2 linked regions of the Lepisosteus oculatus genome follow. The protein of the gene in region 1 purifies or fractionates together with the protein of each later gene. This does not show direct contact. Links are inferred from orthologs where the notes say so. Each region holds a gene or a part of one and is shown in the gene's direction. Other genes may lie near its edges.

The links.
Region 2: the proteins of pfdn5 (region 1) and pfdn1 purify together in Homo sapiens (affinity purification with mass spectrometry; 7 studies listed by BioGRID and IntAct, with this or other methods). This does not show direct contact. The link is inferred for Lepisosteus oculatus from reciprocal best matches to the Homo sapiens genes PFDN5 and PFDN1.

What each region holds. Positions count from the first base shown.
Region 1 is NC_090696.1:20,600,754-20,611,455, reverse strand, and holds the start of pfdn5 (prefoldin subunit 5), read left to right. Parts: upstream 1-5,980; 5' UTR 5,981-6,025; coding exon 6,026-6,091; intron 6,092-10,702. Other genes in the region: espl1 (separin), read left to right, coding at 1-33, 370-543, 888-992, 1,714-1,829, 2,712-2,795, 3,282-3,446, 4,194-4,395. UniProt on the Homo sapiens protein: Binds specifically to cytosolic chaperonin (c-CPN) and transfers target proteins to it. Binds to nascent polypeptide chain and promotes folding in an environment in which there are many competing pathways for nonnative proteins.
Region 2 is NC_090706.1:41,107,354-41,117,794, forward strand, and holds the start of pfdn1 (prefoldin subunit 1), read left to right. Parts: upstream 1-5,880; 5' UTR 5,881-5,945; coding exon 5,946-5,978; intron 5,979-7,008; coding exon 7,009-7,175; intron 7,176-10,441. UniProt on the Homo sapiens protein: Binds specifically to cytosolic chaperonin (c-CPN) and transfers target proteins to it. Binds to nascent polypeptide chain and promotes folding in an environment in which there are many competing pathways for nonnative proteins.

The sequences.
Region 1 (10,702 bases):
TGTGGAGCCCAGAGCAGCGAAGACTTGCTGAAGGTCAGGGGTCAATGAGCATCCACTTTTTCCACAGTCTAGTTCATATTCCCAAGAGCTTGGTGTCTTCCGGTTCCAGTACAGCACTACTGTTACTTAATCGAGCCCTTGTGCTTTTATGATCTAATCCTTGACAACTTTTCCATGCATTTTAGAGAATTATTGAAGATTAGAAATTAGAAAAATGTTTGCATGGAGAAACGTTCAGGGTTTGTTTTTTGTTCTGGAGAGCTCAGCTCTGTCTGATACCCCTGGTCCAAGTCCATCACCAGCTTTGCTAGATCTCTGAATCGAATGCTGAGTGCTCTGGTTACTCCCTGCTTTCCCCTTGTGCTGCAGGCTGTGCTGACCGCCGCTCCTCTCCTCTCCCCCTCGGACCTGCGCTTGCTGGCTGGGGGGTTGTGTCCGACGCAGCCCGATGAAGCACAGCACCTCCTGCAGTCTGCCGTCACTGTGCTGAAAGACCGACAGGAGAGCCAGCCAAAGGGACATGTCGTCCTTATCCTGGACAAGGTACTGGCACCCTGGGAATACTGCTATAGATTGGAAGAGTTCTGGATCTTGTACCGAAAGCCTTTTGTCTGCAGAGGTCTGTGACCACACACCTGTTTCTCTTTCTGATCTTGTTTTGACTTCTGTTCTTGTTGTATAAACCCCAGTGTTGGGGACTCAAGCTGCTGATCACTCCATTGCATGGAGTTCTACTTTGGCATTTTGGACATGTATTGCTATAAATGTGGGGACAGAATCTAAAGATGATATACACATGCCATTGCAATGTAGACATCCCGAATAAAATGCGAGTCTGTGGGAAGACAATGTGTGCCCTCATCTTTGCTGTGTGCTGGTATGTGCAGCACCTGCAGAAGCTCCCCTGGGAGAGTGTGCCCTGTCTGAGAGCCCGCGCTGTCACCCGGCTGCCCTCTCTGCACTTCCTGCTGGGACACTGCGCCCTGAGAGAGGTGAGTGTTCCACACACACACACGCCTTGAGAGAGGTGAGCGATCCGCACGCACACACACGCCCAGCATCCTGAGAGAGGTGAGCGACACACACACACACACACACACACACACACACACACACACACACACACACACACACACACCCTTGGAGAGGTGAGGGCCTCTCTGGCAAAATCATTCAGAAGGAAAAACTTCCAAAGGGCCAGAATGAGTTACATCATTTCTTTTTTATGAAATATGGTCATAAAGAAGCAAGCATGTTGCCACTGCTCTGTCAGAGAAAACCCTTGTACTTTAAGTGGGAAGGATAATGAACAAGAAGCCCATGAGATTCTTGCAGGTCAAGTTCTTTTTCATTACAGACCAAAGCAGTTTGTCAAATTGTGTATTTTGCTGTAGTTTAGTCTTTAAAATACTTGTGTGTCTCTCGCAGATAAAAGTAAGTGCCTGTGGAATATAAACTGCTGATGAAAGAATGATCGTCTTTCTACACTAGGAATGTTGGCTTTGCGTTATCCAAATGTCTTGTGCAGTACTATTAATCAGTGTTGGATTTGCAGAGACTGATACGAGAACTTCTGGGTGCTGCATCTTTGGAGTGTTTTTTCTGCACTCACTAGCTCGCAGAGTCAGGGGAACTTTGCAGGTGGTGGCACTAGGCTTTTTTTAGCGGCCTGCTGTAGCGGCCCACACTCACTGCTTCTCTCTCCCTGCCCAGCTGGACCCACGCTCGGTTCTGAACCAGGGTGTGGACCCACGGCGCACGTTCTACGTGTTGAACCCACAGGCCAACCTGCTGGGCACCGAGGAGCGCTTCCGGGACTGGTTCACCAGGTGAGAGCCTGCCGCAGGCGCGCACACCCGCGGGCTCCAGCGCCAGCAGGCTCTGCCCATGTGACCCTGTTGGCGTGCGACCTGTTATGAATGCACAGGTCCCACTTGAGCAATTTTAGTGGCCTGCTCAATGGAGCAGGCCCATACTATACTGTGGGAAGGCCTATTAGGGCTTAATGTGTGCAGTTTTCTAGCATTTATTTAGGCTGACATTTTTCTAAAATGACTTGGAGCTGGGAGGGTGGCACAGTGTAGCTGTGGTTAGGATTGCTGCTCCATTACATTCCGGACTCCTTGTGCTATCTTCATGGAGTTTGCATGTCCCTCCCCCTGTTTGTGTGGGTTTGCTCCAGGTGCTCCAGTTTCCTCTCAGTCCAGAGACATCCTGGGAGGTTAATTGGCTTCTGGGAAAATTGGCCCGGGTGCGAGTGTGTCTGTATGCCCTGCGATGGACTGGGGTCCTGTTCAGGGTGTACTCTGCCTTGCGCCCACTGCTTTGTGGAATATGCTCTGGCTTCCCTGCGATCCTCAGTTGAAGGCAGTGGTTAGAAAATGGATGGCTGGACTTGGAGCTGGACTCCTCAGGGCGTCTTACTGGAGCAACATGTGATTCAGCTCCCTTAAAAGTATGACTGCACGACATCAGCATTCGAACCCGCCACCTTCCAGCTAAGATTAGAGCCCTGACCACTGGGCTGGATCCGATCTGTGACAGCAAGTGTAAAAACAAAAACAGCTTGTGCAAAGACAAGAAAAGGGAGATGGTGCACAGAATTGTTTAATTAGCTCTCGTTTTTTCTCACCTTGCTTTTCTCTTCTCTCCACCGGTGTGCCTCTTGCCCCGTCCCCCCTCCTGACTGGTGGCCTGGACCTTCTCTGCAGTGAGGAGGGCTGGCAGGGTGTGTGTGGCCGAGCCCCGACCCCCGAGCAGGTGCAAGAGGCCCTCTCCACCCAGGACCTCTATGTGTGAGTATCACTGGTGTGGCAGTCTGCACCCTTCTGCATTTCTGTGTGTGCTAGCAGCCAGTTCCCGAGTCTCCGTCTGTCTCTGCCTCCCCATTCTCTCTCTCTCTGTGGTGCTCTGGTATCTTCATGGAGTTTGCATGTCCTGCCCATGTTTGTATGAGTTTCCTCCATGTGCTCCAGTTTCCTCTCTCAGTCCAAAGACATGCTGGTTCTGCCGGGGCCAGTTTTCCCAGATGCCACCGAACCGGTGGCATCTGGGAAAACTGGCCCCGGTGTGAGTGTCAGGGCAGTGTACCTGCTGATCTCAGTGGCCTGGAGTTCTGTAGGTTTTAGTCCTACGTCTCAGTTAGCAGCTGAGTAAGATTTTAAGAAACAGGTTGTTTGAACCATCCAAATGATCTCTGATAGCTTAGTGGAGGCAGCAGTTCCTGCTCCACTGGGTGTGCTTCTGTGGGCTCTTTCTAACCACCTGCCTCTCCTCCGCAGTTACGCGGGACATGGGGCCGGGGCACGGTTCCTGGACGGCTCGGCGGTCCTGCGGCAGGATTTCCACGCTGTGTCCCTCCTCTTCGGCTGCAGCAGTGCTGCGCTGGCGGTCCGAGGCGAACTGGAAGGCACAGGCATCGTTCTCAACTACCTCATGGCTGGCTGGTGAGAGAGCACCGTGCTTCCGTGCTGCTGCTGTACTTAAATACTAGCAGTGGCCTGCTATTGTTGTGAACACATGGGCACGTGGGACTTGATTTCTATTCATGTCATGTCAAGAGTGGGGCAACTTAAGGGGGGCACGGCAACGCAGTGGTCAGTATCGCTGGGTCACTGAGCTCGGGCCTTGTGTTCAATTATGGACCTGGGCTGCTATCTGTGTAGAGTTGCTGTGCTACCTGTGTTTGCATGGGTTCCTCCAGGTGCTCCGGTTTACTCCCACATTCAAAGACATGCTGGTAGGTTAACTGGCTCCTGGGAAATGTGTCCTTGGTATGTGTGCGTATCCTGTGATGGACTAGTGTCCCATCCAGGGTTTATCCTGCTGTGCACCTGTTGCTTGGATTGGATTAGGCTGTTAAAAAATGGATGAATCGTATGTTAAGGAGTGGTGCTGGTTAACAGGTGGCAGCCCCTGGCATTTTTCAGCAAGATGCCACATTGGCCCATGGTAACCTTGTGTGTTTGTGATGCTGTTATAGCTTATAAGTTTGTATACCTGCTATTGCAGCATGTTGATATGGAAAGGTACCGCCACCTGTCATTTCACAGCACCTTGCTCTCAGCATTGCTCTTCTAGTCTGTCGCTGTCCAGTGGAATCTTCCCTGGTAACTTGCATCCATCAGTATCTGTACATCTCCATCCCCATCATTTAAATGTTAGTTATGAGCAATTCTTGCCATCTCTCCCAGCCCGCTGGTCCTTGGCAACCTGTGGGATGTGACGGACCGGGACATCGACCGCTTCATGAAGACCCTCCTGCAGCTGTGGCTGGGGGCCGGTCGCGGGGCGCCCCTCCTGGATCACATGACCGCATCCCGCCAGGCGCCGCGGCTGAAACACCTCATCGGCGCTGCCCCGGTGGTGTACGGTCTCCCCGTGTCTCTGCGCTGACTGCCTTTCTTGTAACTCCCCACATTCCAGCATTGTGCATCCGCTTGATCTCTCCAGGTTTTATCTGGAGCTGGGGGTGGGGTCCTTGAGTGCAATAACCGCAGCTGCATTTTGAAATTTATTATCTCCACGTCTGTCTAAGCATGTTCTGAAAATGGGTTGGAAACTGCCATTAATTATTCATTTGCTTTTATGAGATAATATAGCTTGTTAAACTTGCAGCGGAACTAATTGGCTGTGCAGTGGGATTTATATTTGTTTCCCTGTATTTAGAAATGCCAGACTATGCAGGAGCTGGGATAAACTCCCAGGGTTTTACAACGGTCTCCAAGTGAAGGAAAGTGTTGTCGACAAGACAAAGTTATGGATCTCTCACTATCCTGAGACTGTTCATGCAAACCCATTGGCCTTTATTCAAGCAAGCCAAAAAGAGCCAAATCCAGTGCATTTATTTATATTTACAAGTGTGTGCTCGGATATCCCCTGACATTTAGGCCAGTATATGTTTATGGTTTTTGCTTTTATTTTTTAACTACCATTTTGTGTATATGTATTTTAAGGTTGTGAACAATGTATGCATTCCTTTTTAAAGTATGTAATAAAGAAAATATTTGCAATGGTTTGGTCTCCTTTTGAAAAAGTTCTGTTAAGTGTATAGTTTTACTAAACTGCCATACAGAAGTTTAAACTGGTCTCCATCTTTATGCCTTGGTTGGCCCCACCCCTGTCCTATAGTGCTGTTATCCTGGAGGTCTAACAGGTCACTCTTAAATCAATGCAGGAGCATGTGTATTTTTTTATTTTTACAGTTGCAGTCTGTTGATTTTCTTTTAACTGATCTCTATTAGGGCAGTGTGGTGGTGGGGTTTTTAGCAGTGTTGCCTCACAGCGCTGGGGCCCCGAGTTCAATTCCTGGGGAGCAGTCTGTGTGGAGTTTGCATGGTCTCCCCAGGTTCACACAGGTTTCCTCCCAGAGTCCAAAGACATGCTGGCAGGTGAATTGGCTTCTGGGAAAACTGACCCTGGTGTGAGTGCATGTGACTACCCTGCAGTGGACTGGAGTCCCAACCAGGGTGTGTCCCACCATGCACCTGTGCCTTGCCAGGATAGGCTCTGGCTCCCCTGTGACTGTGAATTGGATGAAGTGATTAGAAAATTGATGGTTTTACTATCTCCAGCTTTATTTGTGACCTAAATCAACACTGATGTTTGTGGAAGCCTTATCTCAATGCCTTATACAGGATAATTGCAATGAGCCAACTTCACATGCTGGCAGCACTTGCAGAAAAATAGAAAATTGTAGTCAGGTTTGTCCACATTGTTCTGGGACCAAACTGACAAGCTCCTTTACACAAAGGGCTATGGAAATGTGGGACAAGCTACGCATTCATGTCGTTGCAACTGAAACCTTGGCTTTTTTTTTCAAGAAACAACTGGATGAGATGCGCAAATCGCTAGCATGCAAACCGGCTCCGCCGAATGAACTGGCCTCTAGTTTGTAGCCTTCCTGAGGTTTCACATTTATTACCGAGACGAGACAGACAAAGCGCACCGCCTGTTACTAAGCAACATCAAGTTCCTGTCTCTGCCGGAAGTCGGCGCGGCCGCTGGGATTGCTTTTGCTTCTAATATGGCGGTGAATCTTGCAGAGCTGACATTACCTCAGCTGGAGGGTCTGAAGGGCCAGTTGGAGCAGGTGAGGACCGATTTAGGCTAGATTTAGAGTGGGAGATGAAGAGACATCTCACGTTTGAACAGTACCCTCCAAAATGCGCAAGACGAATTAAAGGCGTAGCCAGCCCGTGAGCTAATCTGGGTTATAGACAGCACGGGGCTGGCGTGCTCTCTTAGCTGGGTGTGTTGAGCGTGTGTTTAATAGAAAATAAATGAGTACTACCACCGTGAAGCTTTCGCTTTACAAACAGCAGCAGACTTTAAAATTATTTTCTTTCATAACATATCCGGAATAACGTAATTAAATAAGTGATCGTTCTCTATAAATACCCTCACATTGAAAACCGGTAGAGTGGCGTGGCTGTTTCCAAATCTTTTCTTTTAAATCGTATTAAGAGGTGTGCAATTCGCGGACGATTCGTTCTGATTCGTTTATTTGATTCACGAAGTCATTCAATTTAGAGAGACAAATCGAGCATCGAGCCAACTAAGGAAATGATGTCTCTCGGATTTTAGTGAGTATGGGAGGAACATCGAAACTCGGGTGAACATAAAGCAACAGTGAACATAAAGCAATAGCACATTGTGAAACATAAAATTACCCTCTTATTAATGAAGTGTATGAGGTTTGTGATAGTGCGCGAAGAATATACTTTGCTGCATATTTCAGATGGTTACATTAATTCGATTTTTTAAAAAAATTCAGCCTATAATAATAACATTAGATGTACATACTAGGAGATACATAATTATACCAGTTTTATTTATTTTTTTGTTAATGTATATTTTAAAGTAATCCGAAATCAACAGTGACTCAAATAAGACTTTCAATTCAATTTTGGCTTAAAAATGTGATTATTAGATGAATTGCCCCTACCAGTATGTCTTTTCTTTAATGCAAGACAAAGTACACTGTTTGAATTGCTGGATACAGTGTCACATAAGTTTTCCATTTGTCTTTTCAACATCCTTCCTTCCCACTCAAGGATCATTGAAGCAGCCAATATTGACTGTTGTAGAATTTTTTTTTTGAAAATTGGGAGTTTTATGGAATATTTCAAATAGCCTTATTTGGGAGGTGGGTAAGCCATCCTTTTGCGGAACAGTTCAGGTCCAGACATAGAGCTCAGAGAACAAAAAACTTGAAATTGCATGCTGGGTGCAAAACGGTAAGCATTAAGTGGTTATAAGCTTATCAATGGAGCTGTAGATGGTTGATAGGAAGTTTTAAAATATCTAAATGATTAAATCGTATTTGTTGGTAATTCGGTCTTTTCTGAGAATTGTAAAGTGAAAAGGCAGCCCTTCAAAACAATCTAAAGTAAAACTCCCAGGACCACACGTTCTTCCTTGCTGAGCCCTCTCTTGTATTGTCCACTCAGAGTAAGTGCACTCAGAGGTCTCGCAGGTGATTTGAGCACTGATGAGTCTGACTTTCAGAAAGGTACTGTTTGTCTTATACTTGTGTGATTGGGGCAGAGCGGTGGCTCTGCGGCTAAGGATCTGTGCCTGTGGCTGGAAGGTTGCCGGTTCAAATCCCGCGGCTGGCAGAGGAATCCTACTCCGTTGGGCCCCTGAGAAAGGCCCTTAACCCCAGGTGCTCCAGGGGTGCTGTATAAATGGCTGGCCCTGTGCTCTGACCCCAAGCTTCTCTCCCTGTCTGTGTGTCTCACAGAGAGAAAGCTTGGATAAGCAAAAAGACCAATTCCCAATACAAGAAATTGTATATGGCTAATAAAGTGATCTTATCTTATCTGAATACTACCTTTTTGAGGTGTCTACCAGACATTATTTCTCTCTTGTTCTTTGATGGGCTTTTCGGTCTGAGGTGAAAGGTTCCACTTTTGTGTAGCTTCTGTTTTTGGAGAATTTTTGTCTTTGTGTTTTTTTTTACAAGACGGTTCTACAGCGCTCGGATGCGATCTCTTGAGCCTTTTTTTTTTCCATTTGAACTGCACTGACGACTGGCTCTTGGTGATGTTTGCGACTCATGTTGTCTTGCTGTTTCATGCCGCAGAGCTCGCTGGATCGTTCTGAAACCTGCCGTGCTGGGTAACGGTTTTGTGGTCGTTTCGGACGATGAGCACGACGGCCGCGACCCGCAAGCGAAGCTCCATTTGGAGCCATTTCACTTCGGTCACGTGCAGCACGGCCAAGTGCGACATATGTCACAGCGAGCTGTCTTACAAAGGAGGGTCAACTACAAACCTGCTCCGCCACCTCAAAACAAAGCACCCCCTGGTGCAGCCGGGCGCAAACAGATCCCAGCTGAGGGAGGAAGCTGGAGCTTCGGCGCTTGCAGGGAGCAGCACCCGGAGCAGGGAAGACGAGCATCGGGCTTTGGTCCCCACCAGGAGCAGTGCAAGCCTGGAGCAAAGCAGCGCCAGCAGCTCTGCCGTGTCGCCCGCGAGGCAGGACCGTCTGAACGAAGCCCTTGCGAAAATGATAGTGATGGATTATCAGCCATTTTCAGTTGTCCAAGACAAGGGCTTCAGAGCTTTTATTAATCAGCTCAATCCCTCTTACGTGCTGCCAAACAGAAAAGCTCTGACCAGGACGATCATTCCCCAGCTGTATGAAAGAACCCTTTCTGAAGTGCAGGAGAAGGTAAAGGGAGCATCAGCTGTGTGTTTAACCACAGACTGCTGGACATCGGTTACACACAATGGGCACAGCTACCTTTCAGTCACCAGCCATTTCATAAACCCCGACTTCCAGATGTCTTCATGCCTTCTTGACTGCTTTGGATTCGCCGACGGGCACACAGCTGCCAACCTGAAAGATGAGCTCCTTCGGATTGCTGCGGACTGGAATATACAAGACAAGGTTGTGGCAGTTGTCAGTGATGATGATGCTGCTAATATGACCGAAGCGATAAGGCTCACTGGGTGGAATCACTTGCCTTGCTTTGCCCACACCATAGATCTTGTGGTGAGAGAAGCACTGCAAGAAATCAGACCCACTGTAGATAAGGTTAAAGTAATAGTGGAATATGTACGCAGAAGTCCTGCAGCAGCTGAAAAACTTAGGTCTCTACAGAAGCAACTGGGCATGGAGGAGCTGAAACTGAAGCAGGAGGTTGCCAGACGATGGAATTCCACTTACCGCATGCTGACTAGGTTTCACAGGGCCAGAGATGCCGTTGTTTCGATGCTGGCACTGGTCGACGCCGCCCTGCCCACTCTGACTCCGGAAGAATGGGACACCGTGGCCGAGTCGTGCGGGATTCTGAAACCTTTCGACGAAGCGGTGGCTGAAATCAGTGCGGAAAAGACGGTGTCGGCTTCGAAAGTCATCATCTTGGCCAGGGGCCTGCAGAGGATTGCCGCCACGCGGCCGAGGAACGCGGGTCTTCCCGGCCCGGTGGCGCGGATGCTCAACGCCCTCCAGGCGGCGATGTCCCGCAGGTTCGACGACATCGAGCGGCAGCCGCAGCTGGCCGAGGCGTCCCTGCTGGACCCCCGGTTTAAAAGGCGGGCGTTCACAGACGAGCGAGCGGCGGAGGAGGCCGTGAGCAGCGTCGCGGCGGCCGCGGGGAAGGTGCACGTCGCCGCCGCCGCCGCGGCTGCCCCCGCCGCTGTGGAGGCGCCAGGAGAGAGCGACCGCGAGGCGCCGGCCGCCACGCGTTCGGCGCTGTTCTGGCGCGATTTCGACGACTGCGTGTCGCACCTCCTTTCGGCACAGACCCCGTCATCGGAGGCCGCGCTGGAGGTCAAGAGCTTTCTGGAGGAGCCTCTGCTTGCCCGGACGGCAGAGCCTTTGCAGTGGTGGGCCAGCCGCCGGCCGGTGTATCAGAGGCTCTCCCGGGTCACGGCCGCGAAGCTGTGCGTCGTGACCGCGTGCGCGCCCTGCAGGCGCAGCTGGTCCAAGACCGGGCAGGTGGCCGCAGAGAGGAGGAATCACTTTAGCCCTTCCAAAGTGCGTGAAATCGTGTTCTTGAATGCCAACCTGGACTGAGGGTACTGCCCGTGACGTGTGACTCTGCCACTGTACAGACAGACAGGCCGTTGCAGGAGGTAACTCAAGTGGGATGTTGCTGTTTCGTTGGTTTTCCACCATCACTCCCTTGTTCTCGTCTTGCCTTGCCTTTGAGATGTTCGTAAATAAAAATCAACATTTTCTGTGACGCTGTTGTTATATTACCCAGTCTACTTCCATGAGAGGTCTGTTATAACTCAGTATAATAAAATTTTATTTTTACTTATGTTTTGATGCTTTTTACCTTGCAGTAGACAATTGTGTGTGGGGCGATGAAGTCAAAGCACTTGTCAAACTATGAGGGATATTTTCTCTTGGATTTTCACAATCGTCTGATCTTGTTTCTCTTCCTGTGTTCCCTTTAGCCTAGTAAATGAGTGAGCCTTATAAAGTAGTTATTTTTCTGGTATTCGGTGGCACTGTTCTTTTCAATGACTTGGGGAATCAGAGGAGCGAATCTTTTGAAGAGGTTCACTGAACTGAATCCAATGAATCGATCTGCTTAAAAGGAATCGCACTGCCCGGGTACTAATCATATTCATGTTAATCTTTCCCTTTTCAGAACCTATGCGAAGCATTTTAAAACAGTTTTAAAAGTGCAGCAGTGGGAAACATGTTTTGTGCCTGAAGTGTTCGACAGGGGTAAAGCTTCTGT
Region 2 (10,441 bases), on another chromosome or scaffold:
TGTAATTTTTATTGTTGGTTAGTGCCTTGTGCCTGATGTCCTCTCGCGTTTTATATGTATTTATTTTTTTTAATTGGCAGCGGCTTGTCCTTCCCGTTGTTCATGACTGTTTTTGTGTGCGTGTTTATTTAAACAAGGAGCAATAAATACAACTTTTCTCTTAGCGATGCAAAAAAAGAAAATCTTGTCTTCCCTGAAGTCGCAGATCTGGGGGCTCGATTATTCACTCTGGCCGACGGAGCTGGTGATGTTGACCTCCTGCTGTCTAATTCTCATGACGGGTGGGAGAGGGCACGTGGCCCCTGGGCGGGTCGCACTCTTGTGAGTTTTAGACCTATATAGACATATTTATTTTCATGACAGTCTTAGACTTCACCAGGTTCTCTTCATCTTTTAATAACTCGCCCCAAACTGAGGAGCATCAGATATCCTTGCTGAAATCTCTTTTGATTGAGGCATGATGTTTCCACTAACCTGTGTGGTCAGTGCCAAACTCGCAATGTTTCTGACCATGTTTACTAAATGCTCAATTATTTAACCACCTCGTTTTAATTAGCGTCTTAATCATGCTGAATAAACTAGGGATTCACCTCAATTCACCTACACCAATTCTTAATGACTTTTTTTTTTTCCCCAACTTCATGCACCAATGAAGTTGGTAAATATGAGCCCTTTTGAATATTTAAGAAAAGACTGTCTGGTTTTAATTAAAACAAGTGTACCATGGAAAGAAATTGTAATTCTTTCTATCTATAATTATACTGGGGGTTCAAACATTTTCTCTGCACTGGGTTAAGGTAGATCCTCATCACAGGCTTATCATGGTAACAGAAGGATAAATAATGTTTTAAATGGGTTTCACTGTATCAAGGTTACTTTTTCATACACTAAACAAAATTAGATTTGTAGTTCATAGGAGGTTAAAAAATATTGTATTCTTGAACTGGCTCTGGTAAGTCTGTGTAGTGCACTCCCAGAAAAATCCAATGAAATTAAAAGCAACTTAAGTGTAAAAGACAATGTGTATATACTGTATGTGTAAGATAACGTCCTGTTAAATGCGATGCTGTGCTAACTGTATCCAATTGCAAGATTACACATATTGCCATTTAATGTGAATTCAGAAATGTTATGCTCTTTTTAATACAAATGTCATTGCATTGAAGTTTTTTGTATGAGCAACAATTACAATTGTTCCTAACTGCAGCAGTAGAAATAAAAAAAAAGACGTCCTACTTTGTGGTGTTCTTTGATTGCCGATACCGTTGCCAGCTGTTGGTCATGAGCAGACGGACGAAAAGGAGGAGCGATCGCTGAGCGCTGGGGGGCAAGTCCAGCTCCAGATGTTCTTCTCTGCCTGGAGTCTTGTCCTCCGAGTGAAAGGACACAAGTGGAGTGGTCAGTGCTCATGTCCAGGTGGGGGTGGAGTGGTCAGTGCTCACGTCCAGGTGGGGGTGGAGTGGTCAGTGCTCACGTCCAGTGGAGGTGGAGTGGTCAGTGCTCATGTCCAGTGGGGGTGGAGTGGTCAGTGCTCACGGCCAGGTGGGGGTGGAGTGGTCAGTGCTCACGTCCAGGTGGGGGTGGAGTGGTCAGTGCTCACGTCCAGTGGAGGTGGAGTGGTCAGTGCTCATGTCCAGTGGAGGTGGAGTGGTCAGTGCTCACGTCCAGGTGGGGGTGGAGTGGTCAGTGCTCACGTCCAGGTGGGGGTGGAGTGGTCAGTGCTCACGTCCAGTGGAGGTGGAGTGGTCAGTGCTCACGTCCAGTGGAGGTGGAGTGGTCAGTGCTCACGTCCAGGTGGGGGTGGAGTGGTCAGTGCTCATGTCCAGTGGAGGTGGAGTGGTCAGTGCTCACGTCCAGGTGGGGGTGGAGTGGTCAGTGCTCATGTCCAGTGGAGGTGGAGTGGTCAGTGCTCACGTCCAGGTGGGGGTGGAGTGGTCAGTGCTCATGGCCAGGGGTGTGTGGAGTGGTCAGTGCTCATGTCCAGTGGAGGTGGAGTGGTCAGTGCTCACGTCCAGGTGGGGGTGGAGTGGTCAGTGCTCATGTCCAGTGGAGGTGGAGTGGTCAGTGCTCACGTCCAGGTGGGGGTGGAGTGGTCAGTGCTCATGGCCAGGGGTGTGTGGAGTGGTCAGTGCTCATGTCCAGTGGAGGTGGAGTGGTCAGTGCTCACGTCCAGGTGGGGGTGGAGTGGTCAGTGCTCATGTCCAGTGGAGGTGGAGTGGTCAGTGCTCACGTCCAGGTGGGGGTGGAGTGGTCAGTGCTCATGGCCAGGTGGGGGTGGAGTGGTCAGTGCTCATGTCCAGTGGAGGTGGAGTGGTCAGTGCTCACGTCCAGGTGGGGGTGGAGTGGTCAGTGCTCATGGCCAGGGGTGTGTGGAGTGGTCAGTGCTCATGTCCAGTGGAGGTGGAGTGGTCAGTGCTCACGTCCAGGTGGGGGTGGAGTGGTCAGTGCTCATGTCCAGTGGAGGTGGAGTGGTCAGTGCTCACGTCCAGGTGGGGGTGGAGTGGTCAGTGCTCATGGCCAGGGGTGTGTGGAATGGTCAGTGCTCATGAGCATGGGGAAGCAGACTGTGGGGCTCTGGGCTTAGGCAGGTCTCTGGATCCAACTGCTCTGACAGGTTTCCTGAAATGGCTGGCCAGTCCAGTTTCCCCAATGTAAATGGCTGGGTACTTTCTGCATGAAATGCAGTAAAGGAGATTGCTGGAGTGAAATACTAAGACATTGTATATAAACTCAGCAAATTATTGCAAAACCGTGTTGAACATAAGGGAGCGGTTGGTAGGATCAGGCTGGTCCTCGCCCGGCTTGTGTAACGCCACAAAACGGTCCTTTTGTAATCCAGTTGCTGTGAAGCCTTTCCCAATTCTCTGATGCAAAACACAGCTTCCTTCACTTCCAGCCACACAGCTTCAATGTGAATTCAACCTGACGACGACAGGAGAATTCACATTTCACTCATGCAAGTGAGTCTGCAGACAGGACCAGCTCATGGTCTCAGAAGCAGCAGGAATAAACCAAACAGTCCCAGGATGCTCTGTGGTTGAATTCTGCACTGAGCATGAGCGCAGCTGTCAGGAAGGACTCTTGAGATGGCCTGTATTCCTTCACTTCTGGGCATCCTGTTGTACACCACTGATGTCACAAACTGGAAGCTGGTGTTTTTTGTCACATTGATTTCTCATAAACTTCTTGCCACACCATGCAAGTGCTGCAGAAAATACAGCACAGCACAATGTGAGCATCCTGGGTTTCAAAACAGAGCAAACCACCATTTCCTGACATGAAAGAGGAGCGACGCATTTTGATTTTGACTGGAGATATTTCCTGTCGAGCCCGGTTAAGGCTTGGCTATTGTCTCAGCTGGGACATTAATAACTCAGCTGAACTGGAAAAGGCAGACTTTAAAAAAAGACTTATGGTCTTTGGTTAAACAGGCCGATCTTATTCATATAGTTTTCCGTAGCTATTTAATCTGAGGATTACTTTATTTACAGTGGCCCTTAGGGGTCTTGTCCTCTTCCCATCAATGAAAAGGGTCTCAGCACAAGAATGGAATAGGTGCCCATCTGAGAGTTTACTGCAATATATTTACCATAGGATTTTCCCATTTGCCTCGTGGATTTACTGTGGTGCATGTGAGTAAATACTCCATGGAAATACTATTCTTAAACCACAGCATTCCCATGGTCCAGAGTAGTAAAACACAGTCAAGCCATGGTAAAAGTTTGAAGTGTGCCCAATAAGTGTCTTGTCACACATGCTGTTACTAACGGGGCTGTTAGAATTTCAGGATGAGGTCAAACTGTAAACTTGCTCTTCAGTAAAAAAACCTGGCTCCTGTGCACAACTCTGCGCCCATCTTTTCTACACTCCTCCCTGCGCCACAACTCCACTCCTGCAGCTGCCTCGCTGGTTCATCCCTCGCAAGTGAGGGGGGTCGTGACAGCAGCTCTGGGCCTCCGCCAGTGATGTCACTTCCTCAGCCAGGAGAGTTAACCCCCAACACTAGGAAATTAATGACGCAATCCCTTAACATTCATTTGGCTTGCTTCGTCGGTTGTATCACTCCTTGCCTGAACCGCCGAATATCCCTTTATTATTTGCTGAAAGATAGCAGCTCCCAGTCCGTGTGTTTCTTCAGGCTCTTCTTTCTTCCTTGAGTGGAAACATGACAGATCTGCAGCTTGGCCAAGGCCTGTGGTCTCCCCACACCTGCACCCTGCTCCCGGGCCCGCGACCTCGGCACCGGCCCAGAGTGGGGGGGGCCGGCCCAGCTGGAGGGGGGCTGCGTCACCCAGCCCACACAGGTGGAGGGCGAGCTGCCGAAACCACGCGCACTGCCACCGCGAGACAGACGACAGCAGCGAAGGCTGAGGACCGACAGAGGTGCCTCAGGAGCTCGTGTTGGACCTGTGTGCGGTCAGCAGTAACCCACTGGGATCCAGAACACAGGCGTTCACTTCACATTCGGATGACTGGAAAAATCTACAGCTACATTTGAAGATTCAGTATTAGGAAGCCTCCAATCACGTGTGTTTTCTTGAGCACTGGTCAAGACATTTTCCACAAGGAGCAGGGGCTTCTCCTGATTGCACCAGTTATACAACCTGGATCACATTCCACTCCAATTTTGCGATTGCTGCCATGGACACACTTGACTAGAGACTTTTAACCGTTTCTCGACTTTGAACTGCATTGGTCAGATGTTCAGTGTCCAGTCGATACGCTGGGCCGGGCACTGCTCCGTCCCAGACAGTCCTGTCAAGGGCGGTGTGTCCGCACGCTCCCGGTGTCAGCTCTGAGCCGGGCCGGCCCGCGGGCCGTCTTCTAGCCGGCGCAGCTCTGCCTGGCTTCAGCGGAGTCAGCGTGGTCAGCGTGGCTGACCGGAGGCCTACAGCAGGGGCGTCCAGCCCTGGTCCCAGAGAGCGCTGTCAGGCGGGGGTTGTCAAACCATCAAATCACGCCTTTCTGAAGGCAGTTTTACCATGATCGACGAAACCGGGGATTCATTAGAATATTAAAACATTTCATAGAGTGCGAAGGGCTGTCGCACTGTCCAGGGAAAGCTCTGCCCTCAGTCTGCTGCTTGCTGGGATGGGCGCTGGCTCTCCTCCTGCACAGTGTAGGATAAAGCTGTGAGAAACTGGATGGACGAGATGGAATTTTATAGACAGTTTGGGGCATAAACCTGAATACTCTCTCACCTCCAGATTCATGACTTAACCGTCTTCCCCATCTTTAGGAATAGGTACAAATTTATACTTTATATGATATCCTACAGGGAGGTTTCCATCTTCCAGAACACACCGGGATATTATGATGGGGATCGTGAAATGGATGTGCTTCATTTGGTCGATAACTGCTTCTCTCTCAGGTTGCATGGTTGCCTATTAAGGAAGATGGTCTTATTGACCTAGTTTCTCAAACAACCGGGACATATTCAAGGGAACAGAGGCGATACAGACACGGGGAAATTGAGACCATAATATAGTACTTATCTATATTTAGATTCATTTTAAATCTAAAGACTGAGGTCTAAATTTGGCGTGTGTAATTTTAGAAAAGCAGGCCGTGAGGGAGCAGGGCAGAGCTCGCCAGCACAGGCTGGGACCGGCAGGAGTCAGAGACAGCAGATCAAGGATGGCTGCACTTCATGTCAATGTCTCAAAACCAATTTCGTCCAACCTGTCATGCTACTAATATGAATGCACTTTCTAAGCATTATGAATTATTCAGATATAGACGTTCACACTGAATTGCTCCATTTTATGCAAAATAAAGCTAAGCCACACTGTTATGAAACGTACTTTTACTATGTACGACTGTAACAAGGCGTTTTAACACGCGGTCGAGGTAAGACCGTCTCTGCATGACGTAATGACTCGAGCTACCGGCATGCAGCCTAGCAACCGATAAGGACTCACTGCGCATGCGTTCACCTCTCCAACATGGCAGCCCCCGTAGATCTCGAGTTGAAAAAGGTAAAATGTTTTATTTCATTCTTATACGATAACGGTTGGTCATTCTCAACGGCAGCATTTTAGTTTCTGGTAACTTTATCTCTCATGTCGTAGCCTTTTGATGGTTTTAAAACGGGGAGACAGCCCTTTAATCCTGTCACAAAGCGTGTGGTGGAGAGAAAGCGTGTACAGGACCTCTGAGTTTGAAAAAGGCTAGCTAGCTTAAAGTCATACCTGTTTTGTCTTTTAATTGCGTGATTTTACCATTATTAGATTTTTAAATTAACGTCGTATTATCTGGTTCGTGCAGCGTGCGTCAGTTTGTTTTTAATATAGCCAAACATCTCCTTTGTTAAGTGTTTTAAGATGTCATTCTGCTTTCGGAAATAGAACGATTATTTCCTCCGCGATAGTGTAGATTAGTAGAGTCCCAGCAGCAGGATGCCCAGTGTTCAGGTTGTCGTGATTACACGAAACGTGAGTCAGGCCAAGAACCGACACCCCGCGTATGTGTTGCATCTCATCGCGGTCGTTACCAACATCGACTAAAAAACTATGCTTCTATAACGTGGGAGATCTGAATTACCCTTGTAGCAGCTACACCTGCCCGTTTGTTAAATAATGCTTATTCTGTTTAATTATTACAATCTCATTATTCTGCACTCAGTGCATAATTGTACATCCATCCATTTTCTAACCACTCTGTCCAGCTCGGTGTTTTCGGGGATGCTGGAGCCTATCCCGGCAAACAGTGGGTGCAAAGTGCGATACACCCTGGACGGGATGCCAGTCACACACTGATACACACACACACACACACTCACACCAAGGCCAGCTGTCCTAGGAGCCAGCTAACCTTCCAGCATGTCTCTGAACTGTGGGAGGAAGCCCACACGAATCCGGGGAGAACATACAGCCCTGCAAGGCAGCAGCTCTGAACCCGGCTCACAGTGCCTCCGAACCCGGCTCGCAGTGCCTCGCCACGCGGGACGACGGCAGACCTCCTGCCTGCGAGTGGCCGCGGTGTGACGTGATGCGGTGTGACCCGCAGGCTTTTGCCGAGCTGCAGGCGAAGGTGATCGACACCCAGCAGAAGGTCAAGCTGGCGGACCTGCAGATCGAGCAGCTGAGCCGCATGAAGAAACACGCCCACCTGACGGACACGGAGGTCACCACCCTGCCCGCGGACACGCGCATGTACGAGGGCGTCGGCAGGATGTGAGTACCCCCGCGTCTCTCTCGCCCCCTTGTCTGGGTCTCCCAGGCCCGTTCGGTTCGGATCGGCTCTGCTGTGCCTCCCCAGCGTTGCGACTGTGGGCTTTGGCACTCGTATCACTACATTCCTATTACATATAGAGTCTGATTGGAACCTTAGGAAGGTCACAGAGAAGAGGAGGCCATTTGGCCCATCTAACTAAGCGAAGGTCATCTGTCCATTTCTTGCGAGAATCCCAGGGTATCAGTTTCAACAAAATGTCTGGGCAGCTTGTGGCAGACACCCATCACCATTTGTGTGAAGAACACAAATCTACCTCCTCTTCTGACTGGAGGATCTCATTCAGCTGTGTCTTGAAAGAAGCCAGAGGCTCTTATTGGCTCTGACAGCAATGCTGGGCAGCTTATTCCAGATTCCCACTACACGTTGCAGTTAAATTTGGCTAAAGTCTCTTTACCATTCCTTTGCAGTTTCTACAGTGTTTGCTAATCCTTGTATTGTGATATCATCTGTGCATTTGACTGTGAACTATACCGGAACCTAGATCACTGGTTAAAAATTAGGGAGAGCGGCAATCCTGATACATATTCTTATGCTACTCCACTAATTACATCTGTACCAATGCCAGTCTGAGCAGTCGTACTTTTTTTCTGTACTAATTGTTTCTGTCCATTAACCTGTTCTGAACCCAAGGGCATGCATTACTTTGAGTGTCTGTTGTCTGTGTTATTAGAATTAACTTTAATGAGGAACTTTGTCAACAGCTTTCCACTCATGTAAATTTTATGATCTCTATCCATTACTGCTGATTGTTCAAAGAACTCTGATATATTACAGAAGATCTAACCCTTTTTCTCTGTAAATACCGGAGTCAAATAGTGATGTATCGGCTCTCTCCATTTCCTGGACTGATTCCTCTGAGACTTGAACTGGAACCTGTTCCATTTTTACTACTTTATAAAGTGCTTTCTTTCTCCTCAAATTGCTTTAGTGATTAAACCTTTAGGGTTTCTGCATTCTAGCCGTTGATTTGCTTACTCTTTGGGATTGATAATTTCTGTTCCTTTGTGTAAAGAAGTACCTCTGGTTGGTGTTTCACTGTTCATTCTGAAGAATGTTGCTGGGTTGAATGCGTCACTGCCTTTGAGGGAACATGAACCCCTGACAGCACTAAGGGTGTTGTGTAGGTCTGATCTGAAGTGGAAAATGTCTTGGGATTTTTAACAAATATTTTCCAATAGAATGACTGAAATCAGATAAGTCCAAGGTTAAGCAAACATGCACAGGAAAGCAAGTGTTTTTTGCTCATATGTCCAGTCGGAAGTGTGATTGACAGAGACTGGTGATGAGTATTTTCTCTTGGTGTAATAATCCTAGCCTTCTGCGAATGGTAGACATTTTTATTTGGTTCAAACCGCTTTCAGAAATGGCACTGGATAGGTTTCTTGTGTTTCCCAGTGCACAGTACTGGTGTTGTCATTACTTTTGTGGAGAGTTAGATGGGTTTGTAATTGAAAATGTTTAATTTTATCTCAAGCTAATAATAGTATTTCGTTTTTGCAATCCAACATGTCATTCCACTTGCAGGTGTTTAACGAATTTCTCAATTTGGAGACTATTGTTCCTGAAAACGTTCTTCCGTACCATACAGCACTGCAACGTTGTGTTAACTTGGCCTCACAGGCTTGGCTTCACGTCAGCCAGTTTGTCTACATTTATAGTACCGAGAGTCATCGTCATGCACTTACTATTAAAGTCACAGAGGCCTGAAGTGGGAAGGAAACGGATAGGTTTCTTTTTCTGTATTGTAACTCGGAGGGGGAGGGAGAGGAGCTCAGTGATAGTGATAGTACCAGGGGCTATGGAATGAGCCTGTCTGGCTTCACCCTTACGGTGGGGTTTGGTGTTAATTAAATCCGCTTGTCGCACCAGTCTTATATGACTGTCTTTCTTGTGCAGATGGACAGGTGGCGGGGACCAGTTCAGCAGATCTTGCTGCATTGCTCACATGTTCTGCCGAATCTCTGTGGTGTCTGAAAGATGAAGCTGTCCTGCAGGCTTTGTGCAGTATTACCGTAAAATCTGCCCTATGTGTTTTCATGAGATTGGTATACTACATACGAACGTTTTCTCATCCCAGTTGTTTCTTGAAAGAAACCAGTTTATTGGCGTCAACCACATAGCTGGGTAACTTGTTTCCACTTGTCTGCTCTGGTTTGCGATTCCCAGTTCGTTGTGAAGATGTCCGTTCTCTTGACCTGTCAAGGCCTTGAGGCCTATATCCGGTGTTGACCCCCTGATTTCCTGCAGCCTCCTGCAAGGTGTTATAACCCTGGAGAGCTTTGTGCTTAGAGCAAAGGTGGGCGGGAGGCAGGATGAGGGCATTTGACGCTTTTTATTCGTCCTGCTGATCCGTCATCTGTTGATCCGATAAACATGTCGTCCTTTTTCAGATCTGAGCAGGAAGGTTTGCTCAGGGTGGTGTGGTCAGTTGCACCTGCTGTCGGTTTTCAGAGCAGTGGTGCTGGTGGAGGCCAACAGGGTAGCTGGGTGAGGACAGTGTGTTACAGCTGTGGGCTGATGTCACAGACCGGGCTGGGGGAAGGTGCTGAGAGTCTCTTCCGCTTGTATGGGGACAAGCCAGCAGCTCGGTGTTCCTGGCTTGGAGGTGGTGTGGTCGCGCCGCAGTGCTGGGTCCTGCACACCCAGGCCGGAGAGGGATACCGCTCGGCACTGTCTGCTCAGTCGGACACGTGAGGGTGATGGGGGGATGAGTAAGGAGCAGCTCGATGTCAGGCTCTGTGATTAACTGCCTCAGGCACTGCTGGAGGATTGGGCTGCTAATCCTTAGCTCAGAAACAACAACAGCATTGGGTTCCTCTTTGCTCCAGTCAGTGGCCACTGTGGGCTGTTTCCCTGCTCCACGTGTTCTGCCTGTCTGATTCTGTCACCTTCTGTCAGTGAGGGTCCTGCTGGTTGTGTCTAGTAAGAGTTTAAATGGTTACAGCTCAGAAGTTCCTTGGGAGAATTGGGAGCAGTGGCGCTCAGTACGTTTGAGGGGCAGAAGTAATTAATCAGCTGTATGTATTTAATAGAGGAAATGACTTAAGGGCACTCTTCCTGAGCTCTGAAAGTAGAATTCAAGGCTTGAGTTTATGCATAAGGGATGCAGTTTGATGGGCACCAGTACTAAAACAGTGTTAAGGATGGGAGATAATGGAAAGAAGCGCTGATGTCTGTGCTGTTAACTGGGTTCTGGGTGTTTGAT